Linked DNA regions of Callithrix jacchus. The main gene of each other region encodes a partner of the protein of the gene in region 2 in a complex. Links are inferred from orthologs where the notes say so. Each region holds a gene or a part of one and is shown on either strand. Other genes may lie near its edges. The genes, in order: NUP37, SEH1L, NUP43, MIOS and WDR59.

What was found.
Region 1: SEH1L (region 2) and NUP37 share a complex: the UniProt entries of both Homo sapiens proteins name them as parts of the nup107-160 subcomplex of the nuclear pore complex. The link is inferred for Callithrix jacchus from reciprocal best matches to the Homo sapiens genes SEH1L and NUP37.
Region 3: SEH1L (region 2) and NUP43 share a complex: the UniProt entries of both Homo sapiens proteins name them as parts of the nup107-160 subcomplex of the nuclear pore complex. The link is inferred for Callithrix jacchus from reciprocal best matches to the Homo sapiens genes SEH1L and NUP43.
Region 4: the proteins of SEH1L (region 2) and MIOS are in contact, whole or in part, in a cryo-EM structure (PDB 7UHY), measured with the Homo sapiens proteins. The link is inferred for Callithrix jacchus from reciprocal best matches to the Homo sapiens genes SEH1L and MIOS. Residues at the interface, in NP_112493.2 of Homo sapiens: Met1, Phe2, Val3, Ala4, Arg5, Ser6, Ile7, Ala9, His11, Lys12, Asp13, Leu14, Ile15, His16, Asp17, Val18, Phe20, Phe22, His23, Gly24, Arg25, Met27, Trp47, Ser173, Ser174, Ser175, Asn230, Leu231, Gly232, Arg233; in NP_001357005.1 of Homo sapiens: Arg279, Arg316, Ser317, Phe353, Glu354, Arg355, Ile356, Ser357, Leu358, Ala359, Trp360, Pro362, Leu366, Met367, Trp368, Ala369, Cys370, Gly371, Arg372, Leu374, Tyr375, Glu376, Cys377, Thr378, Glu379, Glu380, Glu387, Asp389, Ile390, Ala391.
Region 5: the proteins of SEH1L (region 2) and WDR59 are in contact, whole or in part, in a cryo-EM structure (PDB 7UHY), measured with the Homo sapiens proteins. The link is inferred for Callithrix jacchus from reciprocal best matches to the Homo sapiens genes SEH1L and WDR59. Residues at the interface, in NP_112493.2 of Homo sapiens: Asn308, Tyr309, Met310, Asn312, Lys314; in NP_085058.3 of Homo sapiens: Pro713, Asp714, Glu716, Thr717, Pro718, Arg721, Arg837, Glu840, Gln843, His844, Asn847.

What each region holds. Positions count from the first base shown.
Region 1 is NC_133510.1:105,154,156-105,160,319, forward strand, and holds part of NUP37 (nucleoporin Nup37), read right to left. Parts: intron 4,535-6,164; coding exon 4,410-4,534; intron 1-4,409. UniProt on the Homo sapiens protein: Component of the Nup107-160 subcomplex of the nuclear pore complex (NPC). The Nup107-160 subcomplex is required for the assembly of a functional NPC.
Region 2 is NC_133514.1:49,488,698-49,494,976, forward strand, and holds the end of SEH1L (nucleoporin SEH1), read right to left. Parts: intron 5,460-6,279; coding exon 5,309-5,459; intron 4,284-5,308; coding exon of another isoform or gene 4,271-4,283; exon of another isoform or gene 2,700-4,270; coding exon 2,501-2,699; 3' UTR 2,025-2,500; downstream 1-2,024. UniProt on the Homo sapiens protein: Component of the Nup107-160 subcomplex of the nuclear pore complex (NPC). The Nup107-160 subcomplex is required for the assembly of a functional NPC.
Region 3 is NC_133505.1:156,503,847-156,509,125, forward strand, and holds the end of NUP43 (nucleoporin Nup43), read right to left. Parts: intron 3,888-5,279; coding exon 3,658-3,887; 3' UTR 1,659-3,657; downstream 1-1,658. UniProt on the Homo sapiens protein: Component of the Nup107-160 subcomplex of the nuclear pore complex (NPC). The Nup107-160 subcomplex is required for the assembly of a functional NPC.
Region 4 is NC_133512.1:51,174,538-51,181,380, forward strand, and holds the end of MIOS (GATOR2 complex protein MIOS), read right to left. Parts: intron 5,263-6,843; coding exon 5,133-5,262; intron 4,190-5,132; coding exon 4,093-4,189; 3' UTR 2,013-4,092; downstream 1-2,012. UniProt on the Homo sapiens protein: As a component of the GATOR2 complex, functions as an activator of the amino acid-sensing branch of the mTORC1 signaling pathway. The GATOR2 complex indirectly activates mTORC1 through the inhibition of the GATOR1 subcomplex.
Region 5 is NC_133521.1:32,274,640-32,280,803, forward strand, and holds part of WDR59 (GATOR2 complex protein WDR59), read right to left. Parts: intron 3,314-6,164; coding exon 3,234-3,313; intron 1,281-3,233; coding exon 1,148-1,280; intron 1,016-1,147; coding exon 891-1,015; intron 1-890. UniProt on the Homo sapiens protein: As a component of the GATOR2 complex, functions as an activator of the amino acid-sensing branch of the mTORC1 signaling pathway. The GATOR2 complex indirectly activates mTORC1 through the inhibition of the GATOR1 subcomplex.

The DNA.
Region 1 (6,164 bases), on a different chromosome or scaffold from region 2:
ATGAGTGAGAATATGCGGTGTTTCGTTTTCTGTTCTTGTGTCAGTTTGCTGAGGATGATGTTCTCCAGATTCATCCATGTCCCTACAAATGACACGAACTCATCATTTCTGATTGCTGCATAATATTCCATGGTGTATATGTGCCACATTTTTCCAATCCAGTCTATTATCAATGGGCATTTGGGTTGATTCCAGGTCTTTGCTATTGTAAACAGTGCTGCAATGAACATTCGTGTACATGCGTCCTTATAGTAGAATGATTTATAGTCCTTTGGATATATACCCAGTAATGGGATTGCTGGGTCAAATGCAATTTCTATTTCTAAGGCCTTGTGGAATCGCCACACTGTCTTCCACAATGGTTGAACTAATTTACACTCCCACCAACAGCGTAAAAGTGTTCCTTTTCCTCCACATCCTCTCCAGCATCTGTTGTCTCCAGATTTTTTAATGATCGCCATTCTGACTAGCGTGAGATGGTATCTCAATGTGGTTTTGATTTGCATCTCTCTGATGACCAGTGACGATGAGCATTTTTTCATATGATTGTTGGCCTCATATATGTCTTCTTTCGTAAAGTATCTGTTCATATCCTTTGCCCACTTTTGAATGGGCTTGTTTTTTTCCTGTAAATCTATTTGCGTTCTTTGTAAATTCTGGATATCAGCCCTTTGTCAGATGGGTAGACTGCAAAAATTTTTTCCCATTCTGTTGGTTGCCGATTCACTCTAGTGACTGTTTCTTTTGTCGTGCAGAAGCTGTAGAGTTTCATTAGGTCCCATTTGTCTATTTTGGCTTTTGTTGCCAATGCTTTTGGTGTTTTGTTCATGAAGTCCTTGCCTACTCCTACGTCCTGGTAGTTTTGCCTAGATTTCCTTCTAGGGTTTTTATCATGCCAGGTGTTATGTTTAAGTCTTTAATCCATCTGGAGTTAATTTTAGTGTAAGGTGTCAGGAAGGGGTCCAGTTTCTGCTTTCTGCACATGGCTAGCCAGTTTTCCCAACACCATTTGTTAAACAGGGAATCCTTTCCCCATTGCTTGTTTTTGTCAGGTTTATCAAAGATTGTATAGTTGTAGATATGTTGTGTTGCCTCTGGTGCCTCTGTTTTGTTCCATTGGTCTATATCTCTGTTTTGGTACCAGTACCATGCTGTTTTGATTACTGTAGCCTTGTAGTATAGTTTGAAATCCGGTAGTGTGATGCCCCCTGCTGTGTTCTTTTTGCTTAGAATTGACTTGGCTATGCGGGCTCTCTTTTGGATAATTAATACTCTTAATAGGATTTAAATAAAACCAAACAAACCAACCCACAAAACTTTATAGCCAGCCTTGTGTTGCCCCACTTTTCTTTGAATCCTTGCTGTTGTAGGGATATTTAGGTCCTTTAATTGAACCAGAAAACCTCAGAGAGCTGAAATAAGATAAATAATGAATCCTCTAGCCACTGTGCAAGAAAAGCAAGTAAGGACAGAAAGAGCAGAAAGGCAGAGAGAAAGAGAATTTAAGGCAACTACATGCTAATCATAAGCCATCATGAAGGGTTTCTAAATGTAAGATAAAAACTAACGATGGTAAGAGAGATGCTGAGTTATACCTTAGTCATGGTGATGGACTACTATTTTAGAATATTACTAAAAAAGTAAAGTTAAAAAAAGTATAGAGAGTTACTAAGTATAATCACAATTATGTACAACTATGTATAAAAAATGGAAAGAGTATTGGGAGCATAAATGGCATTCTTATCCTTTTTATTTTCTGTTTTCTAAATTTTATCTATTAAGCATTTATCATTTTTATAATAATAATTTATTTGAAAACAAGATTGTGCTGTCAGCTTGCTCTAAAAATAGTCTAAAATTAATGTCTTGCTAATGTCTTTTAAATTTGTTATTGTTATTTGTATAATTCCAAAAAGGACTTGAGACAGTTTACCGAAAACTAAGAAAAACAAACTAAACAAAAACACCCACCAGAAATGATCAAACACAGCGAATTCACTAAAAAGAGGATAGATAAACAAGTATTAAGCAACAAGGAGAGCACAGAACACAAGAGTTGAATATCCAGGTTAAAGAATGTATCACAAAACTTAACTCAAAACCAAGGGAAGACGACTGTTTCCACAGCTTTCAAAATTTAAAGAATCAAAGAGACTTTGCTCTTATTTGGGTCTGGATATTGTGACCAGTTTCTTTTAACATAAAAGGAAATGAACAGCACACCAGCTTTGGTAATGATATTATTACATATGCTGACAAAAGCTATTGTTAGATTATTCAAAATTAAGTTAACTAAATATTGGTAAAGGCTTTAGGAAAAAACATGCAACCTGAAAAAAAAAATCACACAAAGATTTCTAATAGAAGAAACAAATACACCAAAAAAGCATCAACATCATTAGTCATCATGGAAATGTCATTGCAGCATCAACCAGAATGGCTAAAACTAAAAAGAAACGCTAACCACAGTGGCTCACACCTGTAATCCTAACACTTTGGGAGGTCAAGAAGATGCGTGAACTGCTCAAGCCCAGGTGCTCGAGACCAGACTGGGTAACACAGTGAAACCCCATCACTGCAAAAAATACAAAAATTAGCTGGGAGTGGCAGCGCATGCCTGTAGTTCCAGCTACTTGGGAGGCTGAGGTGAGAGGCAGGGTTGAGGCTGAGACAAGGGAGGTTGAGGCTGCAGTGAGTCATAATCATGGGTCTGGATGGCAGCCTGAGTAATAGAGTGTGATTCTGTATCAGAAAAAAAAAAAAAAAAAAAAAAAAGAAAGAAAAGAAAAGAAAAAGAAAAAGAAAATAAAAAGATAGACAATAATAAATGTTGGGGTATAGGCCAGGTATGGTGGCTCACGCCTATCATCCCAGAACTTTGGGAGGCCGAGGGAGATGGATTGCCTGAGCTCAGGAGTTTGAGACCAGCCTGGGCAACATGGCAAATCCCTGTCTCTACAAAAAAATCCAAAAATTAGCCAGGCATGGTGATGTATGCCTATAGTCCCAGCTACTCAGGAGGCTGAGGTGGGAAGATGGCTTGAGCCTGGGAGGTAGAGATTGCAGTGAGTGGAGATGGTGTCACTGTACTGTAGCTTGGGTGATAGAGCTAGAACTTGTCTCAAAATGAATCAATGAGTGTTGGAGAGTAGGGAGACCACCCGTAGATGACTGGTGAACATATGAAATGGCAGAACCACTTTAGAAACTGGGACTTTCTTAAAATGTTAAACATACATCTACCCTGTGACTCAACAATTCTACTCCTAAGATAAATTAAACCATATAACCACTAAAAGCAGTATTCAGCAAAAAATAATAACTAAACACTGGAAACCGTATTGGTACCCATTGATAGAAGAATGAATAAACAGACTATCATCTATTGATACACTGCAATGGAGTACTACTTAAAATGCACTGGTATACATAACAATGTGGAAAAAATTCAAAAACACTGAGCCAGACACAAAAAAAATTCTGTATGATTCCACTCATATGAAGTTCTAGAATAGGCAAAACTGATTTCTGGTAATAGAATCCAGATCAACAGTTGCTTCTGTAGGGAATGGGGTACAGTGATTAACTGGAAGGGAATATGAAGTAACTTTCTTGGGGGACAAAAACACTGTGCATGAATAGAGTGTGGGTTATACAAACGTATGCATTTGTCAATACTGATCAAATTGTACCGTTAATACTGAGAATTTCAGAGTATCTAAATTATTCTTTAATTAAAAAAATTAAAGGATCAACTATCAGCATAATAGTTGATAACTTTTAGTTGCTAAGTATCTCTTACTAAAAGAAGACACATCTTTTAGATTTGACATTTGTGGAGACAAGGCTAGTGTTTTGTAACAAATCTTAAATAATGTAACATATTCTTGCCCCTGTAAAGAAGACTTCAGCAGGCATTGCCAGGACTTTTTTCTCGGAAAACCATCATTCTTTTTAAACACTTTCACAAAAACTGAAGTCCAAAGCCCAGAATTACAGATTTACATATTGTGAGACATGAAAATGTGATCTTAGTCTATGTGGGGTAAGGAAGGCTCATTAATGTCTCAACTGCTCATTAATGTCTTTTATTAAAAGAGTTGTAGTTTCAATAAAGTTGTGAATTAGTGAAGACTCTGTAAAAACCTTGATTCAGATGAAGCCCATGTAAAAAGCTGTGTAGTTTGGCTCAAACACATGGTCAAGTTATCATAGTCATGGCTGTATATTTAAATCACAAATTCAGATGATAAGCCTAAATTATTAAGTAATAGCAAATATAAAAATACCTAGTATCTTGGGTTGTGGAAAATGGAAATGGAGAAAAAAGTATCTATAATCAGACTTCAGATCATGTAACACAATCAAAATACATTAGTAAAGAATGCATTTGGTGCTGTTAAACTTACTTGATTATTGGAGGCAATGAATCAAGTCTAGTCTCTGGGCTCCAAGCTATACCGTCAACCCTGACTCCATGGTGAAATGTTCGAAGTGTTTTATACTGAATGCCTTGAACGTCTGCTTCTTCTTCCTAAGCACAGTAAAGATTTTAGTAAGTTATGAAAACAAACAGTATTATTTCATTAAAATGAATTTATCAGGAGGCTATGTGTATGCTTTTGAAAAATTTTGAGAATTAGTTCACTGAATTAAAAAAATCCAAACTTACCTTAGCCTCACAAAATAACTCTCTAAGGCAATTAGAAATAAATGATAAACATGTCCTACTTTATCTTATGAGGCATTTCATAATAAATTCAATGAAAATGGATTGCTTGTTGGGGTGTGGTGACTCACATCTATAATCTCAATATTTTGGGGGACTGAGGTGGAAGGACTGCTTAAGCTCAGGAGCTTGAGACCAGCCTGGGCAACATAGTGAGACCATGTCTCTACATTATAAAAAAAGAAAACAAAGAAAATGGAATGCTCTAAAGAATCAAAATATTCTAGTAAATAAATTACCAGAACTGGATTATCTACTGACAATATTAAAAATATATACTGAACATTCTGATTAAATGGAAAATACTTTGGGACCTTATGATGCCTCTAAGTCTTTATAATCAGTGTCAATGATTTCCATGTAGTATTACTTCTGGCATTATACGTGTGTAAGATGCTACAAATAATTCATCTGGACTATTATAGTCTATGAATAGTGAATATGTAAGAAATAATCTGGTTAATTTAGTTTTAGATATTTTATTCTGGGAATAAATGCTTAATAAACTTGGCTTATTTATCTAGTTCAGCTCTACAAAAATGATTTCAGTTTATTCTCACGGGAAGGTAAAAAAAAAATCAACTTTAAAAGTCAAGGCATCTAGCGCTGTAAATGGGGACAAAAACATGAAAAGCTCTTCCATTACAACATTGCAAAAATCCAAATACAAACAAGCAAATGAGTACCAAGGAATGCAGCTGTTATAAGGGCATCTGCCCACATGCAATGATTTAAAGTTTCAGTTTGCAAGAGAGAGGAGACAAATCCTAGTGCCTGCACAAGGAAGGATGCCAGATGACAGATCTCAGTATAGATCCAGGGCCCTTAAGGGGGAAGCAGGGAAAAAAAAAGACAAACAGAAAACCCTGCCATGCAAAATACCTACCATGAGTAAGGGAAGGATACTGAGGGGGCCTCAAAAGAATTGCTAATGTTCCATTTCTTAAACTAGGTAGCAGTTATATAGGGAACCATCTTATTATTCTTTATGCCTTTATGAATAATGTATATTTTCTATGCATTAAAATACTGCCCAGCACAATAGGAAAGGTAAAAAAGAAAAAAAAATCATAAAAATTTTTGTAATTTTAAAAATAAGTAAATCATCATTGTTATTTAAATCAATATCTGAACTGGGTCTAGAGACTAAAGCAAAATTTTCATGACAAATTTGTCCAAGGAATCTTGTGTATTAACCACAGGTTTTTCTTTTTTTATAAAGTGTACAAGATTTAAAATATCAGGAAAAAAAATACAGCAGGTGAAACTTGGTATTTAATGAAATACGTATGTCTATATTGATAGGAATTACTTGAAGGCCTGATCTAAGAATTCCATTCACCCAGAATCTAAATGCAAAGTTTTATAATGTATACTCGAATGAAATCCAAGTGGATATGCTGATTTTTCTAGGATAGCCTTTGGGATCCTAGTA
Region 2 (6,279 bases):
GGAACAGAACTCCCACTGTGATTTCCAAATCTCTTTAGACACTGAGTAGAGCCTGCAGAGGCCCATGCAGGATGCCTCCCAGGGAATAAGAAGTAAGGCCTATCTAGTTTTAAGTTCAGACATCTCTCAGTTCCCCTTTTACCAACTGTTTAAAGTGGTATGCCTCAGCTGCCAATACTTAAAACCTTCTACAATGTAACCACAAGGTATGATTTCAGATTAATGTCCCACTAGCTCCCTAAATGTAACCTACTCTTTCATCAGACTGTTACTTATATTCTGTTCCCTAAACACACCTGGCCTTTTTTGTAACCTATTGAAATCAGGCACCCCTTCCAAATTCTGCCAGCTTAAATAACTTGTCTCTTTTATGCCTACTATACAGTTTCTACCATTATTACAAAGCTGAACCCATTACCTTTTGTAAATTCTAGAAATGCCTTCTCCAACAAGTGCAAGTCTGTGTGCAGACTATCTTTTTTTTTTTTTTTTAACATACCCAAGTGTTTAGCACAGTATCTTGCACATCCTAGATGCTCAAGATTCACTAAATTGGAGAATGGTCTAAATTTCATTATTCCATTCTAACCCCAGATACCTCTATGATTGAAAGCTCAAAGACACGGCTTCTTAATTAAGACCTTGTTTGATCCTTGCCTTGTTTAAGAAAAGAAAGACCTTTGAGAATTATTTTAAAAAGTCATTCACATTGAAATGCTAACCTTAGAGACAAAACATTTTGATGACTAGACAATAAAACTCAAATGTTCCTTAAACTAAAATGAGTAGGCTAGGTGAGGTGGCTCACGCCTGTAATCCCAGCACTTTGGGAGGCGGAGAAGGGGGATGATGGAGTAAGCCTAGAGTTTGAGACTAGCCTGGGGAAAAAGTGAGACCCCTTGCTACAAAAAATAAAAATATTAGTCAGGGCATGGTGGTGTGCACCTGTAGTCCCAGCTACTCAGGAGACTGAGGTGAAAGGAGCACTTGAGCCTGGGAGTTCAAGGCTGCAGTGAGTCATGATCATGCCACTACACTCCAACCTCAGCTACAGAGTGAGACCCTGTCTTATAAAATGAATAGAATATTTCTATCATCTCTTAATCCTTTGCATATTAAGAAGTTCTAGGGATATGACACTATTCAAGGAAAGGCGTCTTTGAAAATTAGAATACTTGGCCAGGCGCAGTGGCTCAAGCCTGTAATCCCAGCACTTTGGGAGGCCGAGGCGGGTGGATCACGAGGTCCAGAGATCGAGACCATCCTGGTCAAAATGGTGAAACCCCATCTCTACTAAAGATACAAAAAATTAGCTGGGCATGGTGGCGCGTGCCTATAATCCCAGCTACTCAGGAGGCTGAGGCAGGAGAATTGCCTGAACCCAGGAGGCGGATGTTGCGGTGAGCCAAGATTGCGCCATTGCACTCCAGCCTGGGTAACAAGAGCGAAACTCCATCTCAAAGAAAAAGAAAATTAGAATACATACAACAATTGTGTTACCTTTGTGATTACCTGATAAGACACATGAAATACTGTTCAAAACACCTGTCTCTCTCTAGCCCTGATAGGTTAAACCCTTGATAATTCCTCAGAAAACTGAACCAAAATGCCTATTACTAGTTTTAACCATTTTGCCCCAATTACTGTCAAGTATATTCTAATTTTAAAATATTTTAGAAAAAAATCTTTTCTAACGTTGACTAGATTGAAAGTCAACATCTGTCCATTCTATATGTTAGTCTACCTACTTTCTACCTTTTAAATAAATGTAATATTTGCTCACATCTCCTAATTTTTATTTGTTTGGGTTTTTTGTGAGATTATGAAAGAAGAGTAAGCCTTAGCAACTATCTTAAATAAAATATATCCTATTTTTATAAGGCAAGAGATTCATGTATTTAAAAATATATTTTATTATATAACCTACCCGGATAATTACAAAAGCTTTAAACAGTAATTCTAAGCAGTGAAAGGCAATTTCCTTTAAAAAAAAAAAAAAAAAAGACCAAAAAGTCCACATTAGGTTTTGCAGCTTTATACACAGGAATGCTTTATTTTATTTTACATACTCGTCAGTTGCAACATTAGCCTATAAAATTAAATCCATTTCTTAAGGTCTCAAAGGCAGAATAAACTTCACAATAATATGCTTTCACATTAGCCAGTCTGATAAAGCATAAGCAACTTAAGACTATGGTAACAGTTCAAAATAAAATTACAGAACAGGCACTTTGAAGTCTGCTTCTGTGTATAATTTCACAGATAACATTATTTGGACATACCTCATTTCATCAAAGGTTATCACCCAGAGAAGCAAATGTTCCGTTGCTGCAGACGCACAAACAGATTTAGGTTCTGAACACTGTATTCTGGTAGTAATACATGCAAGACAGACCCTAAGTTAGAAAAATCTTCTGAAAGAAAATGAAGAAAAATAGCAGCCAGAAATGAAAGCATTTACAAGCACTTGAATAAGGCCTTTCAATGTTAAGTCAGTGTTTTAAACCCCTTCATTCTCAGGTAAGGGATTAAGAGGCCGAGAGAGATATCGTCTGCGAGGGTGAGGATACTGGAGGTTGGCAGTGTCAGCATCGCAAGAGTGCTCTACCAGAGGAGGAAGAGGAGGAGGAGGAAGGAGCTGGATAGAACTGGACCATCTCGATCCAGCCCGTGGGGAATCCAGAGGGGGAAAGAAATACCTGAAACAATTAAGACAGGAACAAACACCAAACAAAACAAAAACAACAGGAAAAAAAAAAAAAAAAACAAGAAAAAGAGAAAAGTAGTAAATACAAAGAGAACCAAAGAGGAGAAAACATGCTAGGAAAAAAAAAAAAGCACAAATCAAGACCCTTACTCAAACCAAGATTGCTTAAGCAAGTATAAAAACTTGAAAGAAATACAATCTGTTAAACTTAAAATGTCAAAAAAAATCAATATAAACGTTACAAAGAAAAACATTAATTTTATAAATTCAAAACATTTTCTAATCTCTCAGAAACATCTGATGCTATTCTGTTCATTTACAAATCTAATAAGCTTTTTATTTTAAGCAATGGTTCACTCACAGCAGCAGCAAGCACACTCTTTTTTTAGTGCATACATGATACTGGGAATACAAAGAGTATGGCTGTCTACTGCAACATGCTTTTGAAGAATTATATTGAACATACTTATTTTTCTGCAAAACCCTTAGAATAGCTACCGAATTTTGACAAGTAAAAGGATTCACAGAATGACTGTTCCCTATTGTTAATCTTGTTCCATCTTGTAACTTACCAGTAATACTTATGCATTTTAGCAAACTTAAATATTTATAGCTTTGTTATCAAGGTCACAGCTTTACAGGATATGAACTAATTTAAACAGCCAACTAAATTAAGAAAATCTTGAGACATGGAATGCTGACATTCATTTACATGCACAATTTTAGTAAAATTTTAATGGCTTCTCTTATAGTACGTGTCCAAATTTTGATGTGAAGGAAACTAAGCCATGAAATAAATAACACCATAAGAACATATAAATGTATATTAGCAACATTTATCTCTTTAGTGAATATCAATTAAAAACTTAACAAAAAGGTGTTTCCATCTTACTACCAAATTATAAATGAAACACCACCAAATGCTTAACCTGGCTACAAACTGTACAGTTAAGTTACTTTCTTTTTACTATTACTACTTTACTAATTCACTCCTTTACTAATATTTTTTAAATATTACAAAGAAATGACAGAGTTGTACTGAATATCATGTATAAAGCAATTCTACAAAAAGTAAACAAATCAGCACTCAAAACAATCTTTATGAAAAATATTTATTCAATCTTCAAATTAAAATTAGAAGAGTTCATTTTAAGCTGTTTTAAGAAAGCAAAAGAAATATGTCTGTATTTTCCCAAAAAATTAAAGTGATATTTCCCCTCTTCTCAACTAGTTACATAAGAAGGTTAACAACCCTTTTAATCTTTAAACCCAAGTTAGTTTGAGGAACATTTCAAAAAATTGTTTTGGTGACAATGTCTCAACAGAAAGCCTCTCCATTTATATTTCAAAAGTTTCAAATAGTGTCAACAAACTGACTAGTACAAAAAAATATACACCGTATTTTTAAAGGCCTTTTGGGTTGCGTTTAGTAGTAAGCAGGCTGCTGGTGTATCTTGGGAGAGGTCAAAATGGCGCTGGGGAAGGGGAAAAGGAGCTCGCTTTCCATTCCTGTGTGCATGCAACAAGCAGCAAAACAGCAAAGTTACTCCAGTTAGCTTGTACTCAGCTGTGCTTTCTGTTAAAGGACATAATACAAATGGAAAGGGAAAATGCATCACAGATCTAACACAGATGGTTATTGGCACAATTAAGAATACAGATCAAAACGTCGAAGCTATTTACAAAAGAAAATACATAGTACAAGCAGTGACCAAAAACCAGACTTTAAAAATCAACTCTAATATTACTTGTTTCATGAAATAATCTTTATAATCTGGTATCTTCCACAGTAACCTGAAATTATTTTGATGCTCATATTTACAACCTCAAAAATCAAAAGCAGGAATTCTTTATAAAAATATAACAATATAAAAATAGTTGAAATTTTAAATACAATTTTCTTCTTTTATTTAGGATATCCATTAGGCTGTGTTTTGAAGCTTCCTGATTTCTATTCCAAATTTATTCACAAAGGCCTATTAAAATAGTTTTATCTTACAAATTCACATATTTAAAATTTGAACATGAAAATAAAAGGATGACTCTTTAGATGACATCAGATATTCCTTATTACGATACACAAGAATCTAACATATGCTAACATTTTAAAAATCAATCTCAGATTTTATTATTTCCTCTTATTTCCAATAAGTTTTAAACACAAAAACCAAATAATTTAATGTACTCTCTTCTAAAAAGCCTTAATTAATGTATTTATTTAAAATTTCAGTTTGACCTGATACAAAGACCACACTACAAGCACTAAAAAACACTAACGTTCATTTGGACTAAAACCCTCACTATTAAACCAGATAACCTCTTCCTCTCACTGCTGCAGAAGCAGCGTTGAATCTTAAACCTATAAACATTTCTACCAATACATCACTAAAGCTTCAGAATATAATGTAATAGCCTCATAACCTACCAGCAAATATTCTGACCAAGTAAGCCAAATACAAAATGAATTCTTAAATGCTAATATAGTTTACATGTGAACATTTACACTCCATCTTATAATCCATAAAATAATCCTCCTTAAGTATGGCTACCAGAATGATTTAAAACAAAGATAATTTCCAGTTTTCCCATTAAACAGCCTACCTGCCAGCAGAAGATCCATTTAATGAATTCTGAAGACTTGGAATATTTGAACCTAGGGAAGGATTTGAGTTTCCCTGCTGAGAACTCCCATTGACTGGGCTCCCATTACCTTTCAAAATACCAGTACACTTCCAATTGTCCATATAATTAGCTGAAAAGAAAATAATCAAATACATTAATGTGATTAATACCAATGCCTAAGGGCACAAATCTGTACCTATGTCCTTAAACTATAATTACAGAAACGAGAGAAGCTATGGGCTATGGCATTTCTTTCAGGATTAACATTAAAGACACTTTTTAAATGAAAGACATATTATCTCCGTTTTAACAATTTTTTAGAAGTTTTCAAAGTATCACCAATTTTAAAAATATAAAGCTTTCACCAGCCATCTTATAGATATTAGCAGAGACAATTCTCTGAAGTACTACATTATCACATTATGAAGTTCATATTAAAACCTTCATTATAATATTAAAGTCTTCATTATAATGAATTTCACATATATATATATGTAAGATAATTAAGTTGTCTTCTTAATTATGCAGGTATATGGGTACCTAATGTCTTCTGAAATGGATGTAACAAAACTTTTGGAACTTGAGTGGCTTATCCAAAATGGCCTTATTAGTTTGAATGCAAAATTGGTCCCTGAAGACAATGAACCAAAGAAAATCAAGTTAGGCAGCCTGCCAAGGAGTATGGCAAGGTGGTCCTGACTAAAGCCTAGAGGCAGAAAATGACAGCAATGCCCTTGAAATCAAACTACAGTGAAGAAAGGAACGTCTGGCTGGTTCTACCAAAGCCCAAAACTTAGCCAGACTGCACTCTGGGAAACAATACCTGCTAGAGGGTAAATAAACTAAGACAGCTATAAATTTGAATGCTAAGTATGAGATACCACTCATAATGGTGGTACACAAATCACAGCCATCTCTGCCCAACGGATAACCATCCAAGGAGAAGTGCA
Region 3 (5,279 bases), on a different chromosome or scaffold from region 2:
TCTACTTTTCAGTGCTAGGAAAAAACCTACCCTGAGCTGAACAAGTGTATGTTTTTACTTACTCCTGGAATGCTACAAAATGAAAAACAAGTAGTTCCTTTTGGGCAGGAAATTTCCTATGTGGTGTTATTTACTCCTTTTGTATGACATCAGGAAGCACATAATATCTACTTGTGTGAAAAGAAGAAAACTTCAGATGCATTAAATCATTAAATTCCAAATGCAATCATTACATGCAAAATATAAAAACCACAAAATAAAATGAATTACAGATTAACATTTACATAACTCTAGGACAGGATAACATGATGCCAGGGGACAAAAAGTATTAAGAAAGAAATCAAATGATTTGGCCAGGTGTGGTGGCTCACCTCTGGAATCCTAGCATTTTGGGAGGCCAAGGTGGGTGGATCACCTAAGGTCAGGAGTTTGAGACCAGGCTAGCCAACACAGTGAAACCCCATCTATACTAAAAATATAAAAAATTGGGCCAGGCGCGGTGGCTCACGCCTATAATCCCAGCATTTTGGGAGGCCAAGGCGGGTGGATCACAAGGTCAAGAGATCGAGACCATACTGGTCAACATGGTGAAACCCTGTCTCTACTAAAAATACAAAAAAATTAGCAGGGCATGGTGGTGCGTACCTGTAGTCCCAGCTACTCGGGAAGCTGAGGCAGGAGAATTGCTTGAACCCAGGAGGCAGAGGTTGCGGTGAGCCGAGATCATGCCATTACACTCCAGCCTGGGTAACAAGAGCGAAACTCCGTCTCAAAAAAAAAAAAAAAATATATATATATATATATATATATATATATAATTAGTTGAGCACGGTGGCACATGCCTGTAATCCCGGCTACTTGGGAGGCCGAGGCAGGAGAATTGCTTGAACCAGGGAGGTGGAAGTTGCAGTGAGCTAAGATCATGCCATTGCACGTCAGCCTGGGTGACAGGGCAAAACTCTGTCTCAAAAAACAAAAATAAAAAACTAAGAAACCAACTGATTTGACCACACACGAAATGCAAATTCTATGAAAAGCACCCTAAGTAGCCTGGGCAATTATGAAACCCCATCTCTACTAAAAGTACAGAAATTAGGCATGGTGGTACACACCTCTAGTCCCAGCTATTCAGGATGTTAAGATGGGAGGATCATCTGAGCCCAGAAGGTCAGGCTGCAGCGAACCATGATCATGCCACTGCACTCCAGCCTGGGCGATGGGAGTGAGACTCTATCTCAAGGAAAAAAAAAAAAAAAAATTAACAGAATAAAGATTAAAAAAAAGCCCCATAAGTAAAGCTAAAAACTAAATTAAAAAAATACCTGTATCATACAACCAAAGGCAAAAAAACAAACAAAAAAAAACCACATATAAAAAGATGTTACAAATAAGAAAATGCCAAACTACCTCAAAAAATGAAGAGGATATAAGCTAAGAATAAAAGCAAGTTTTAAAAGAAATGCAAATTAAACCAAACCGGTATTATAGTGGGAATCATAACGGTGAAAGGCTGGAAACATGAAATAATCAATAATAGGCAACCAATTGAAATAAATTATGGTACACACTCCTACAGCTTAGAATATTAACTAGCAGTTCAAAATGATAATAGAAAAAATGTGTTTACTGCTAGGGAACATGCATCCACAAAGATAATATATATATGTATATTTCATTTTATTAAGAAATTATATACATTGATGGATAGAAACGGATATGAAGAGTATTGTCTGTTTGAAATTCTAAGTACTTAAAACTTTCTTTTCTGTAAGTTATTTAGTAACAAAAAGTCTTTAAAAAATTAGTCCCAGCAATAATACTATAGACAGATCAGAAACCCAAAACCCCCTGAGATAAAGTGGCATTAAAAAAATTGAAAATAGGCAGGGTGTGGTGGCTCACACCTATAATCCCAGCACTTTCGGAGGCTGAGGTGGGCTGATAACCTATGGTCAGGAGTTCCAGACCAGCCCTGGCCAACATGGTGAAACCCCTTCTCTACTACTAATTAAAAATTAGCCAGGTCTGGTGGCGCACACCTGTAATCCCAGCTACTGGAGAGGCTGAGGCAGGAGAATTGTTTGAACCTGGGAGACAGAGGTCGCAGTGAGCTGAGATCATCACTCCAGCAATAAGAGCGAAACTCTGTCTCAAAAAAAGAAAAAGAAAATATTTATTAGGACAGAAAAGCAAAACCTTATCATAATTCCATAATTATGATTATTGGAATTATAAAGTAAATAAACACTTCAATTGTCTAATAGTACTGATTTATCATTAAGGTCTCAGGTCAATAACACATTTAATATCTAACAAATTTTGGAAAGATAGTATCATTAAAGTATCTTAAAACACTACATTAGGTCATTATTATCTCTGCAGACAAGAATAAAGATGGCTGATAAGACTATAGGTGGCTAAAACAAAAGGATTAAAATGGCAAAATTCTGGTGGGGGGTGGGGGGTGGGGACAAAGGTTAAAAAAAAAAAGAAAAAAATGGCACAATTCTTCACTCTGATTATATTATCATTTGATTAATCACACTTGTTAAGCATTGAATTTTAGTTTGGAAGTCAATTTGCTTATCAATATGAAATTCTACTTTATCACACGATGTCCAGTTTGGCAATTTTCAACTATGCCGTGAAGCTAAACAAAAGCTAAATTCCTTAGGAAAAATGTTGTGTTTGTTCCCTTTTCAACAGAAATAAAGTTGGGTCTAAGGAGTTGAAAGACTTCTGCTCAAAAACCTATTCTGAAAAAGGAACTTGTCAAAACATTTTCATCTTTAAAAAATTTCAGGATAGGTACAGTGGCTCACACCTGTAATCCCAGCACTTTGGGAGGTTGAGGCAAGCAGATCATGAGGTCGAGACATGGAGACCATCCTGGCTGACATGGTGAAACCCCATGTCTACTAAAAAACACAAAAATTAGCTAGGTGTGGTGGCGCACCCCTGTAGTTCCAGCTACTCAGCAGGCTGAGGCAGGAGAATTGCTTGAACCCGGGAGGTGGAGGCTGCAGTGAGCCAAGATCGCACCACTGCATTCCAGCCTGGCAACAGAGTAAGACTGTCTCAAAAAAAAATCTGTCTCAAAAAAAAATTCGAACATGGCTATACATCTTTGTTATTTTTGCTCTACTCAATTCTTTCTGAAAACATTTACTATAATTATTAAGGAAATAAAGTGTGGAAGGATCATAGGAAATACTTGCAATAAAAAGAATAATTGTTAACATTGACAATTGCCACTAGGAGGCGTATACTCCACATACTACTGATAAACATTGTAGGAACCCATTGGTGGTTCCCATAACCACCACTGATGTTGTGTTAATTGCCACATCTAAAACAAAGAACTAGTCCCATGAGCTGTCAATAATACTCTGAAGGCAACCTATTCATCAGCACCAGGATCCCACTGATTTTCTTGCACATGTTCACAATCTTTTGCCCTCTGTCATCCAACGGATTCTACAACTGTTGTGGGAGTGTCAGGCTAACAAAAGCCAAAACTGGGCATTGACATTAATGGCAGTTTATTGATGTTTCCCCTGCAAATCTCATATTTTCTGATAATAAAAGTTTGCACAGATGTTGGATTTCAAAAGGCTAATTGTGTGTTCTACCTGAAATCTTAAAATTACAGTACTTCTACGAAAAAAGATGTCTAGTAACATAAATTGCTTCTGCATCGGTTCCACAAACAAGACAAGGACCTAAAACATCCAAACTGTTCACAGACAGAGTCCTACTGGGAAGTAAGCTTGTGATTTCAATTCGGTCTTTTGCAGGATCCGTGCTGAGCCAGGAACTAATGACAGATTGGTGAACATTAGCTTGGTTACTAATGCTATGAGACAAAAATGTACTGGTTCTTCCTCCTGAAAGAAAACAAGAAAAGAAAAAAAATTTAAGGTGGTTTTTATATTAGTAAACATGCAAACTTCTACTGAATTTAGACAGGTGATAATCTCAATATGTTTAATTCTCAGAATAACAGGTTAATAATTCCATTATTATACAAAACCATTTTTGACCAAAGGCTTATTCAGTGATATTAAATATTCAAATTTCCATGAGATAATATGGATACCAAACATGAAGTCTTCAGGCAAAGCAGATAATTTCAACTGACTCTGTCTTTCTGTTAATCTTTTATTGGAAAGTCTCAGAAAGGTAGCAAAATGGCCAGCAGACAAGTTGAATAAAGAAAGAAAAAAAAAAAGAAACCAAAAATGTAGGTAATATACGGAAATATAAACTCTTGGGTAATAAATGATCATGAGAAAGAATTTCTAGACACATTTCTAGTTGAATATTTCTAGATTTATATTTCTAGGCCAGGCATGGTGGCTCACACCTGTAATCCCAGCACTTTGGGAGGCCAAGGCGAGTGGATTGCCTGAGGTCAGGAGTTCGAGACCAGCCTGGCCAACATGGAGAAACCCCATCTCAAAAAAAAAAAAATATATATTTCTAAATATATATTTGTTACTACGTTTCTAAAAATATAATTGCCTTACCTCGGATCTTTTTTTATGCTTTTTAGATAAATGTTCTTAAAAGTGAGTAACACTACTAGATTATAAGCTTTTATCTCTAACACAGCATTGCACTTAATAAAGAGTAAAAGTGACGCAGGCAGAAGCAGTATACTTCCATTTTAGGCATTACTTATAACTTTCCTTTCAACTTGCTGTCATACCAAATAAGTACAAATTTAATTCACTCAGCAAATGACTGAGTACCTACTATGTGTCAGGCTCTGTGCAAAGTCCCTATGTCTTAAAGCTTAAAGATCAGTACATTTAAAATCTTGCTAACCCTTTAAAATATGGCTCAACTTCCTTCTCTAAGAAAACTTTGAAGACAACCTCTAGTTCATGTTTTTCTTTTCTTTCCTTGAACCCTCAGCATTACTTTGTAACAATTCTTATATCCTAATTGAACTTTCCATGCCTCTGTCCATGACTATGTCTTAAGAGCAGGTCTCATATTTCATATTTGTTTTACCTTTTCACAGTGTCTCATATACTGTGCCTTGCAATAGTAGACACAGGATAAAGTTTTATTTCCAGTCTAACCAAGGTTCCTTAAAAGTAAACTTGCAAGTTCAAGACTGTGGTTAGTGTAGGAAGGAAATCAAAAACTAAGTATATACTTAGTCAATTCTTAGATGAAACTGTTCATTTCTCCATAGATGAAGTTAGCATAGACATGCATGCATGTTCCACACATGCTCTCCCCTCCAGAATTTTACTAGAGAAGTTTTA
Region 4 (6,843 bases), on a different chromosome or scaffold from region 2:
AAATTTTGATGATTTGGAAAAGAAGCAAAGGTGTGTCTCCTTTAGCTTTCTTCTTTTGCACTGCTAAGTGCAGAACCAGTGACAACAGCATACAAATCTTATTCCTGTCTATAGTGAGAAGGATTCTAACATTTCTCTACTAGGTATGATGTGTAAGACAGTAAAATAGGAGGGGATAAAATGGAGAGAAAACATTTCCTTTGCATGACAAAAACTAACCTAAAAAACAAATTAGAGATCAATTTTTGAATTTTATCAAGTGCTTTGTACATCCAAAGAGCTACTGACATGGTTCTCTTTGGGTGTATTCACAGTAAATATAAGTAAATGTTACTCAGTACTTAATTCTTGGAAGGCACTCTTCTTTGTCATAGTGAATTAGTCTCTTACTTATGCAACCTACAAAGTAGTGCACAGAAGCAGAAAATATAAATTAAAAGTACAGATTAGGAAGCCAAGACTACTAGAATCTTAAGTCTTGGCTATATTTGCTACTCATGTAACCTAGGACAAGTGACCTGATGTCTATGCCTGAGTTGCCTCATTTACAGAATGGAGACAAAAATGGTATACCCGCCTCATAGGTTTATTGTGAAAACAGGATAATGTATTTGGCAAACAGGCATTAACAGTAATTATAATTCTCCTTACTATACTAATGCATTTGATACCAACTTTACTTGTGATTTTATCATTAAATTTGTGTTGATATCTGGGTTGTTAGCTTTTAAAAATGTTGGGAAGCTTTCCTTCAGTACTCTGGGAAAAGTAGTATTTTATAAAAATTAGTATATTTGTAAAGTGCTGCTTGTTATAATCAGCAAAGTAACCTACAACATTTTCAGGTAGGAGAGAAAACTGGAAAAGGATGGGAGTGAGTAGAGGATAAGGGAGGTGCTATCTAGTAAGCTGTTTCTGTCATTGTGATGTGGGTCACTAGACTTGATACAAGATGCTGACCTAACACCAGATATGCCTCTCCTATCTCTCTGATGCCTATTTAAGCAGATGTTAGAAATGTGTGCCCACTAGCTTTAATTATGGCCATTCTGGGAGAGCAAGTCTCACAGTATACTTTTGATTATCACTACCACCCCACCATTTTAACTGAAATGAACAGCAAGTCTAACAGAATGCCAGAAAAGGAAGAAGTACACGGAATAATCCTGGATACTGTCTCCAAGTATCCAGATTAGGGAGTTAAATTTAAACCTAGTTTAGAGTTGAGAACAGATATAAAAACTCCAAGTTTTCAATAATCAATTGTTAAATTTGCCATAACTTTTTCTTCTCGGTTCATTTTTATACCACATTTAACTCCTAAGAGGTCATTTGGAGTATTTTTGCATACAGCAAAATAGTAATACTCCAAATTTATCCAAATAATGGCATTTTTCTTTTGAGATAGGATTTAGCTACTTTTGTTTACCCTATATTTGCAGCATTACTATTACGGGAAATTTTCATTTTTGAGACAAATGTAGGTTCTTTGTTAAAAGTATACTGTATTCACTGAAAAAGTACTGCTACAGGAGTAACCTATGAAAATTAAGGTAGCAATGACTGCTAATCACTGCCATTTATAGAGCACTGTGTGACAAGGATATGGTAAGTCATGTTTATTGCATCACCTAATGTCCCCACACTTTATAAGGTAGGTATTTCTGCATCTTTCTTTTAACATATAAAGAAACTGAAGCTCAAAAAGGTCAAGTCACTTACCAAAGATCCTGAGGCTAGGATTATGAGTTTCAAAGACCATTCCTTTACTATTCGCAGTCAAATGAATGACTGAAATTCAGTCATCCAATTAAATGCAGAACTACATTCTTTTAAATACTGTGTGAAGCACTGATAATGGGAAGCTATTTTTAAAATATACCTTTGTAAAGGATGATAACCATTCTGGAAAGTGGGTTAAACTGAAAAACAGAGCCTAAAAGGAATGTTACTTTAAGTATAAAGTCTGTCATCCAAATAAGTACCAATATAATATAACTTCATGTGGATTATTTGTAAAGGAATCATAATTTCTTTATTAGATACAATGATTTCAACCCAGATTTATTGAATCTTTTCAAAATAATAAAAATACTTTTATTAAACACTTCTATTGATCATGTTTAGGTAAAATACCTTGTTGAGTTTATAAACCCAAATACCAGTGACTTTGCGACAAAAATGAGAAAATAATTTGAATCTACCTTCATTGTCCACACACACTGAAATGCAAAATGCACACCAGAGACATAAACTGCATGTTTGGGCTTCACAGAAAACAATACGAGGTTGACACACACAATCTTAAAAATGTCACCCTTATATATCAGGATTACAAATAAGCATATTACATAATAGACTTTACATTCATGTTTTATACTGTATTTCCAAAACTTGTAACTATTTCAGCTAAATTCAATAATTTTATATTTAACTTTAGCTAATGAGAAATAAAATTTACTATGTAAGAGTTCGACATTACTTAAAGCTGACTTTCATATTTAGGACACAATAAATTTGAAAGGAACACTTCAAAGGAAATATTAAAGGTAGAGGATATGTGTTAATAAAATGAAATCAATTAAAATTTACTGAAAGCCTGGAAAAAGTACCCTTAATAGCCATCTTTAAAAAAATTTGCATTTCCCATTTCTTTCATTTGAAAAGACTGTCATGTAGATGAGACATTTAGAGTAGATATACATTACTTCCAATGTTTTCCTAGAAAAGGGTTTTATGTATCAGATACTCAAGGTAAAAAATTTAATCTACTTTTAATATTTAGGTTATACCTCAAACTAATCTGATAGATCTTAGTTTTTATAAGGCAAAACTGCTAATATGAAAGCTCTTAAAATTCTTCAGTTTATTTCTCCAAAATCTAAAAAATAAAATTAGATTTACTCTTTATGAACAGAGCTTCAACTACAAGCTTCCTAGTTCAGTCCCTCTGCATATGGCAGATGACAGAGAAGCATCCTGTAAACCCTTGGTATTTCTCTTACAACTTTCTATAGCTATGAAATCGGAAAAAGTAAATTTTAAATAAAGTCCCTCCAGTAACATGTACATTTAAAAACTTACATCTAACGTGGACTCTGAAGTGACTGTATTTCCCCAACATCTCCTAGTCTACCTTGGAAAGAACAAAGAATGTTATTCCTAGTCAGGAGGAAATCTGACAGTACAGAAACACTGACATAGATTATGCTAAATGGTTAGTTACATATAATCTTGCATAGACTTTGTATTCAGTAAAATATTCTCAGATGATGAGGGTAAGATGACAAATTAATATGGAGAAAAACCTTTGAAGACAAATTAAGACACTGGAAAGCAAAAGGTAGAAAGTGAAAATTTTATATGTTCACCTGAAATGGTACATGTTTTTCTCTTCTGAAGAGAAAAAGTTGTAAGATAGATTCTTCATCTTGGCTTTTCTAGGAAGACAATGTGTATGCCAAAAGATTGCTTATCTTAAAATAAAAACATATGAAAGAAAAGTCTCCTTTGAAAAAATATATATATTTACACATACACACACACATGCATACATATATATATAACATATATTAATAAAAAGTATTCTCCAGTATGGGATAGGGACTCTCTAATTCTAAAAGTAAAAATCTATAATTTTAAATTTATCTGAAAGAAATCTAAGCACAGCTTAACTTAAGATTATTGTCTGAATCACTGAATTAGTCATTTTATTTTAAAAGTGCACGGATTTTATTGAAAGATATCCAACTTCAGCTTTGAAGATCAGGCTCAAGGTTTGTTCTTGGCTATTCCAGAAATTCTTGTAGAATGTTCATAATTTCAACAAAAACTTACAAAGTTTTTCTAAAGTAGACTTTTCAAGCTACTGAACAGAATTCACGTCTATACTCTGAAGTTTATTTCAGCAGCATTTGTCTCTGTGAAGCACATCAAAATCACTCACACATCAAATTGCTGATCTGAGAGAATGATTTATTTTCCCATTACAGGGAAGTCATGAATGACTTGTTCTGAGGTATGTTTCTGAGCTATGAAGGACACCTATTACAAAGCTCCACACTTGAAGGTTTCTCTTAAGGTGATAACATTTTATGGCTGGATAGTCTCTGCAGGTACCAGATTCCCTGTTGTATCCAACTGCATACATTTACACGTGCATGCAGACACAGGGCACTCTGTGTGGTCCCTAAAAAAATACATCAAATAACAGTTAAAAATCCAAATTAAACATATACACATTTATTTATCTAAAAAAATTTTTTTTTAAAGAGACAGCATCTTGCTATATTGCCCAGGCTGGACTCACACAGCTGGACTCACACTCCTGGGCTCAAGCAATGCTCCTGCCTCAACCTACTGATTAGCTGTGACTATAGGGGTGTACACTGTTCCCACCTGTTTACTTAGATCTATCTATAATGCAACTTTTCAAAATGGCATTTGTAAAAATATAGAAACTAAAACCCAGAGGAAAAAAGCATCAAATTATAAATGACTGCCAAGCTGAACTTTAGGGAGAAGTTAAAAAAAAATACATACCTTTTATTTTCTACATATATGGCAAGATATTTCATTTACAGTTGTGAAGGTGACAGGGATGTGCTCAGAGTTTAAATTAGCTAGTGAGACAAACTGGGTATAAATGCTATATCAATGAGGAGCACAGGGCCACTGGCACCATTCAAAATAAAATTCAATTATGGTCTTGAGAGTTTCAATTGCATGACTACATAAAAAGCTTACTGAGAAGAGAACTGAGGCAGCAATATGATATGCACTTTTATAATTTCATTATTAATTCAATCACATGATAAATTACAACATATTCAGTTGTAAAAAACTTTAAACACATCCTCTCCCCGAATAAAGTGAAATAATGTTATTCAAACATTTAACTCATGCAAAATATTTGAACTAGTTCTTATATAAGTATTACCTTTATAGTTTAAGGTTACATAGGATATCTAACAATGAAATAAATGTTCATACCACCTTTGTTAATGCAAGTGACTGTAAAAACAAAATTCATACTTTGGCTAAATGTTAACAGATAAACCCAAACTATTTAGAAGCAATCTGTGTTATCTCTTGTAAATCCAAGCCTATCAAAGAAGAAATGTGCTGATTACCTGAACCAACTAAGCATATGTCCAGCATGCCCACCATGCCTGCAATTGTGACACCATGTAAACCAGTTGTTAAACTGGGCTAGTTTTTTGTCCTTACTTAAGTCCACTTTTTCATCTGATTTGGTTCCTCCTATGAGACAAGAAAATTATCTTCATTAACTGCATCACGATATTTTATTTAAAGTTACTTTCAAAAGGCATTTCTAAAACTATGTTCAAAATATGAATCACACATCATATTGAAATAACAATTTTGATGCTAGGTTCTAGTTTAGATGGAGTGAAACTGAATGACAGGAGCTTCCCTACATTTTTAATAGCCAATACAAAAATGGAAAAATTTAAATTATTGAAACCCACTGAGAAACAATATAAATTTAACACTTTGGGGGAGACCAAATCAGTAGTTAAAATCTTTCCACAGGAAAATACTAGGCCCAGTTTACAAGTGAATTTTACCTAACATTCAAGGCACAGGTAAAACTGGGCATGGTAGCTCATGCCTGTAATCCCAGCACTTTGGGAGGCTAAGGTGGGCAGACTACTTGAGGCTAGGAGTTGGAGACCAGCCTGGCCAATATGGCAAAACCCCATCTCTGCTAAAAATACAAAAATTAGCCAGGGGTGGTGACACATGCCTGTAGTCCCAGTTTCTTGGGAGGCTGAGGCACAAAAATTGCCTAAACCTAGGAGTTGGAGGCTGCAGTGAGCCGAGAGAGTGCTGCTGCACTCCAGGTTGGGTGACAGAGCAAGACTGTCTCAAAAAAAGAAGAAAGACAATCAAGGGGCAGGTAATTCTCATCTGTACAAGCCCTTTCAAAGAAGGAAAAAAGAGGAAAAGTTTCCCAATGCACTTCATGAGACTTGAGTAACTTAAGCAATTGCTTAATTAGACTTAATATTTTTACTTAATTGCCATCTATTAAGGCATTATGCATAGATGACTATGTTCAAAATTTTGCTTGGATCATTGCAGGTCACACTTTCGGGATCAAAAGGATAATCCTACAGTCAGGAATAGTTTTAAAAAATATCTGTTTTTGCTAATAATATGGGGTGAAAGGATGTATAAGTAGTTCAATGATTTAAGATGTAAATACACTAAATTTATTCCTGAAAGGGTCACCAAAGGTTAATAATGAGAGGGCAAAATGGAAAGGGGGAAGAGAAAAATAAAATACAGATCTGATATGGACACTACTTGATACCTTTGTGTAAAGCTCTTGTTAGCGCTTGTCATTTTGTTTTTGTAACTTCTAACATAAACAGAAAACAGACTGAATCCAAACAAGTGTATCCTTATATTTTTCTGATAAAGCTGGAAGTATTAAGATCTACCTCACTGCCAAGTATAAAGGCTTTTTTAAGGTCAAATGACTTTAAATTTTAAAAGATCCATAGTGAATTATGAAGACAAGTACCACAGAACACTTTAGGGGAAACTAGTTTCACTTGTGTATTAACTCATAATCTGAGAAGAAAATGAAGGAAACCAGTATATAATCTAACTTTTAAAAAATGTGTCATTGTCCAAAAATTAAGTTCTGTAAGGGCAGGGATTTTTGTTTTGTTTACTGTAACATTTCTAGCACTTGGAACACTAGGTACCAAATAAAATTTTTTAATAAATAATATTTATAATGTTTATAATGATGTTAGAACTGTTTTGAGTTCTAATCTTCAAAGCACAATTGAGTATAAAAATATCAAG
Region 5 (6,164 bases), on a different chromosome or scaffold from region 2:
GGAAAAACTAATCAAGCTTTAAAACTCCTTCCTGGAGAGATATTCAATTTTCTGAAGCAAAGAGTTTCGGTACTTGCCCCAAAGGAAGAGTAAATGTTCCACAGGCTAAGTGTATAAAGAGGTTTTGGTTGCCTTCTTACTATGAATCTAAATCCCACAGCCTGTGAGGGAACACGGCACGGCACGGCACAGCACAGCACCCTGGAGGGGCTGGAGGGCTGGCTGCCCAAGTCAACTCTGCCCATAACCTCAGCAGCAACTCCTGCCAAAACACTAAGCCTCCCAGGTTTTAGTGTCTTCCTTTATAGTAAAATGCGATGTTGAAGCATCTAAGGAGGAGCTAAGACACATGAGCACCAGGTTCTCCTTTGGCTGATCTTAGGAGAAAAGAAAAGGATTAAGAAGAAAGTCTGCATTCCTTTTTCTTTTCTTTTTTTTTTTTTGAGACAGAGTCTTGCTGTCACCTAAGCTAGAGGGCAGTGGTGTGATCTTGGCTCAGTGCAACCTCTGCTTCTCAGGTTCAAGTGATTCCTGTGCCTCAGCCTCCTGAGCAATTGGAACCACACCCACCACCACACCTGGCTAATTCTGTGTGTGTGTGTGTGTGTGTGTGTTTTTAGCAGAGATGGGGGTTTCACCATGTTGGCCAGGGTGGTCTCGAACTCCTGGCTTCCTGGCTTCAAGTGATCCACCCACCTGGACCTCCCAAAGTGCTGGGATTTCAGGTGTGAGCCATCACACCTGGCCAGAAAACTCAGGAAATAAAAAAGCAAGCAGAGAGAGTTCTGTTAAAGCTGCAAAGCTGTTTGCTAACTGAAATCGTTGCTGAAATGGTTCCCTCCCCAAACCGCCATCTGCAAACATGAGACACTGTTGATTAAACTAAGTACCTCCACATTGACATTCCGGATTTGCACATTGATCAGGGAGAATTCCTGCTGCAAGGTCTGAGGCAGTCCCAATTGATCTGATTTCCTCTCTTCCAGGAGATTGCTAGGGGGATCTTCCTTTAGGGCTAGCAGGAGAGAGAAGTTCAATGTTGGAAAGCATTTTTGAAAATGAATCAGGGAACAGGTCTGGGGTATCTGCCACATCTCTGCAATGCATAACGTGGCACCTCACCTGAGAAGCCAGTTTCACAAATTACCTTCTTCCTCCCCGTGGCTTGCATTGTGCTGGTGATCTATATCTTCAGCGTGCAGGGTCTTCTCGGGTTCCGGCAGAAGAGAAATGCTCTCAATGAACTCATCGACACCATCTAATATGTCATTTGCACAAAGCTGCAACAAAGTGGGGAAGATGTATTTCTAGAGAAGTCAGTGGAAAAGATCATCATGTCTGATTAAAGAGTTAAAAATGGGAATGACAAAGGATGGAGATGTGTCAGCCAAGAGCTGACATAATCAAAATAGATTTTACCCATCACCAGCTCTCCCTGCTTAAACACCCAGGATAATAGACCCTATTATTCAGCCCTGGAAATTTTTCATCATGTTCAGAGTTTATGCAAGCCTCAGGAAAAAAAAAAAAAAAATTACTTTTAACTCCAAGCCTTGATGGAGTTATTCAGCTAATCCAGGAGCAAAAATATCATAACCGGCCGGGCATGGTGGCTCATGCCTATAATCCAGGCACTTTGGGAGGCTGAGGAGTGCAGATCACCTTAGGTCAGGAGTTTGAGACCAGCCTGACCAACATGGTGAAACCCTATCTCTACTAAAAATACACAAATTAGCCAGGCATGGTGGCAGACGCCTGTAATCCCACCTACTCAGGAGGCTGTGGCAGGAGAATCACTTGAAGCCAGGAGGCAGAGGTTGCAGTAAGCCAAGATCATGTGGCTGCACTCCAGCCTGGGCAACAGAGAAAGAGTCCATCTCAAAAAAAAAAAGAAAATCATAATCTCAAGGCATTTGGTGCAAATTGTACCTTTCAGAGAAAACAGATTGAAAATGCAATAAGGTAATGAGATTTGACCAAAATACTCAAGAGTGACTTCACACTAAGCAGTGTTGGCATTTTTATCCAGTATTTTCTATTCATTCTGTGCAACGCAGTGTCCCAAGTGCTGTGGGAGCTGCAATACAAGTGAGATACCTTCCCACTGTCAAGAAATGTAGCCATCAGATGGGGAGCAGACAGAGCCCTGTGATAAGGCAGAGCAGAGCAAGGGTCATAAAAGCAGCTCAGATCAGGCAGGCCCTACTGTGGTTCATGTAAGAAACAGATATCATTTATTGGGAAAAAATTATAAACAGCTTCATAGAAGTGGTGCTGTTGACGGATGTAGAGGCCTCTAAGCATTTGCAGAGTGCAAGGGTAGGCTTTTTTTTTTTTCTTTTTTGAGATGGAGTCTCACTCTGTCACCCAGGCTAGAGTGCAATGGCGAGATCTCAGCTCACTGCAACCTCTGCTTCCTGGCTTCAAGTGATTCTCCTGCCTCAGCCTCCTGAGTAGCTGGGATTACAGGGGTATGCCACCATGCCCAACTAATTTTTTTTTATTTTTAGTAGAGACAGGGTTTCACCATGTTGGTCAGGCTGGTCTTCAACTCCTGACCTTGTGATCCGACCACCTCGGCCTCTGGGATTAAAGGCGTGAGCCACTACAACCGGCAAGGGTAGATTTCTTAGCACATTTAGAAAAGAAAGAAATGAACCCCACAAGCCACAGGCTCAGGAAGCTACTCATACTATTTTGTATTAGAATAAGGGGGAAAAAGACATTTAGACCCTGCCTTAAAGAGCTGAATACTAAGGTTGGTTCTTAAAGACCTCAAAGCCTTGGTGTGGCACACACCAGCCACTCAGCCAACCAGTAAGTATGTATTAAATGTCTATCTTGCCAGGCACAGTGGCTCACATCAGTGATATCAGCACTTTAGGAGGCCAAGGCAGGCGGATCACTGGAGATCAGGAGTTCGAGACTGGCCTGGCCAACATGATGAAACCCTGTTTCTACTAGAAATACAAAAATTAGCCAAGTATGGTGGTGGGCAGGCCTGTAATCCCAGCTTCTTGGGAGGCTGAGGCACAAGAATCGCTTGAATCTAGGAGGTGGAGGTTGCAGTGAGCCGAGATCTCACCACTGCACTCCAGCCTGGGAGATTGAGTGAAACTCAGCCTCAAAAAAAAAAAAAGTTTATCCTGTAATCTCTAATTTCCACAAATCCTGAATCTTACACTTCTTGGTGGATCCAGGTACATTTCTCCACAATAGCACTGAATACATACCCTCTGCATCTGGGAATCCACCCGCCACATTCTCAAGGTCTGATCCCGGGACCACGTCACCAGTTGATAGTCCTTGGACCCTAGAAATCACCAAATAAGAATCCTGGAAATTCTTCTGGATTCAATATCCACTTTGCTATAGGTTGAAATGGAGTGAGATTCATCCATCCATTCAACAACATCTCTGATATGCCAGGCACTATTCTAGGTACCAGGACTACAGCATGGATAAATTAGTGTCTATCTTTACAGATCTTGCGTTCCAATGGTAAAAACAGACAAACAAATATAAAACATCTGGTAAGGATAACTGATATAAAAATAACACAAGATAAGAGGACAGAGACTGACAGTGGAACTATTTTTAGCTAGAACTCCCCAAGGAAGTCACATTTGAGCAGAAACTTAAATTAAGTGAAATAATAACTGGCAAATTAGCAGGTAAAGAGCAATGCTGGGATTTAATGTCACACTAAACTTTCACCTCTGCAAATGTTCTTCCTTTTACATGCTCTTGAGGAGCTGAAGATGAACACATTTTTGCAAAATGGATTGTTTCAAATGCATCATAGCATCTTACCATTCCAAAGAATTTTTTGGTAAAGTGATGCATCTCTTTGTAAAATAAATCATCAATCCTTAATATTCTTAATTGACTGAATCACATTTTCATTTTAATTCTGGCCAAAGGGAAATTATCCTGAGAAGGTTCAGGGTGCTTTATGAAATAACTTCATGAAAGTCAGAACATTTGGGGGCAATTATGTAGTATCTAGAATCTCCTTCATGGCCACCTTCAGAAAGCGAAGAATTCAGAAATAATTTCATCCAACTTCTTAATTTTATGGATGGGGAAACCGAGGCAAGATAATATGATCTGTCCAAGGTCACAGAGTGAGAGGGCAAAAAATGAGGGCCAGTTCTCTTCCTTATCGGTTATATCTCTGCATCACCAACTCCAACCAAAAATTCACTCCTCAATACTTCATATATCACTAGGTACAGCTAGCCAGAGAGCAACTATCCTAAACCATAGCTTGTCACATGTGGCACCATCATGCCCCACGTTCACATCAACAATCTTCTGACCCTACATCTGGCCTCTTTTCATGCCCCTGACTTTAAGAAAAAGGTATGCCTAATTCCTTTCTAAATATTATAAATTAACTCAACCCCTCAACCTGTGCCTCCCCTGCTGGTCCCAAGGGGCCCTTTGCTTCCCCAACTCCCAGTGTCTTCTCCCTGCCTTCCAACAGAGAGGGCAGCAGCCTCTGCCAACTGGCTAATTCTGTGTCTTGACTTTGAGGGTAACTTAATTCACTAAACTGGTTCCTGCTGCCCCTGTTTATGCCACCTAATGACCTGGCTTCTCTCCTCAACTCACTTTTCGAACTCCTTTTTTTAAATTCTGAGACAGGGTCTTTGTCACCCAGGCTGGAGTGGAGTGCAGTGACAGGGTCTCAGCTCACTGCAACAAGCTCCACCTCCTGGTTCGGGCAATAATCCTGCCTCAGCCTCCTGAGTGGCTGACATTACAGGCACGCACCACCACACCCGGCTAATTTTACGTGTGTGTGTGTGTGTGTGTGTGTGTGTGTGTAGAGATGGAGTTTCACCATGTTGGCCAGGCTGGTCTCAAACTCCTGCCTCACATAATCAACCTGCCTCGGCCTCCCACAGTGCTGGGATTACAGCCATGAGCCACCACACCAGGCCTGAAACTCCTTTCTTAATGATCATATGGCTTCCTATTTGGTCAGTTAAATGCATTTCTCTTAATCTATATTTTCATCTGTCAGCAACACCTGAGAAAAAGGATTACCGCCCGCCCCCAGGAGGCATCCTTTTCCCCTGGCCGCAACATCCTAAGTCTCTTCCTAACTCTTTAAGAAATCCTTCCCCACAGTGAAAATCAAATCATGAAGTGGTCCAATAAAAACAGATGACTACCAGCCTGGGCAACATGGCAAAACCCATCTCTACAAAAAAGTACAAAAAATCAGCCCAGCATGGTGGCACACTCGGGTAGTCCCAGCGACTCAGGGGGCTGAGGTGGAAGCGCTACTTGAGCCCAGGAAGTCGAGGCTGCAGTGAGCCATATTCATGCCACTGCACTCTAGCCTGAGTGATAAAGCGAGACCACGTCTCAAAAAAAAAACATGATGGCGAAGACATGGCAGTGAAAGTAAACTGGAGCAATGTTCTGCTGAGCAGGGAGTAAGATGAAGATGGTTCCCAACTTACAATGGTTCAGCTCATAATTGTTTGACTTTATGATGGTGCGAAACTGTCACAATTTTAACATAATATGTAGTATTCGATAAATTATATGAGATATTCAACACTTGTTTATAAAATAAGCTTTTTATCAGAGGATTTGGCCCAAATGGAGGCCAATGTAAGTGTTCTGAGCATGTTTCAGGTAGGCTACTTAGCTATGATGTTCAGTGAGCTAAGTGGGTAAAATACATTTTCTTTTTTTTTTTTCGAGACAGAGTCTCGATCTGTTTCCCAGGCTGAAGTGCAATGGCATAACCTCAGCTCACTGAAATCTCCACCTCCTGAGTTCAAAAGATTCTCCTGCCTCAGCCTCCCGAGTAGCTGGGACTACAGGCACGTACCACCAAACCCAGCTAATTTTTGTATTTTTAGTAGAGATGGGGTTTTGCCATGCTGGTCTTCAACTCCTGGCCTCAAGCGATCCACCCACCTCAGCCTTCTAAGGTGGGTACTAAGATTATAGGGTAAACCACCATGCACAGCCTAAAATACATTTTCTACTTATGATATTTTCAACTTAACAAGGGGTCTATTGGGACATAACCCCATCTTAAGTAAAGGAACATCTGAACAAAAACACATGCATAATAATTAAATTTCTAGGCAGGGCTCATGCCTGTAATCCCAGCACTTTGGGAGGCCGAAGCAGGT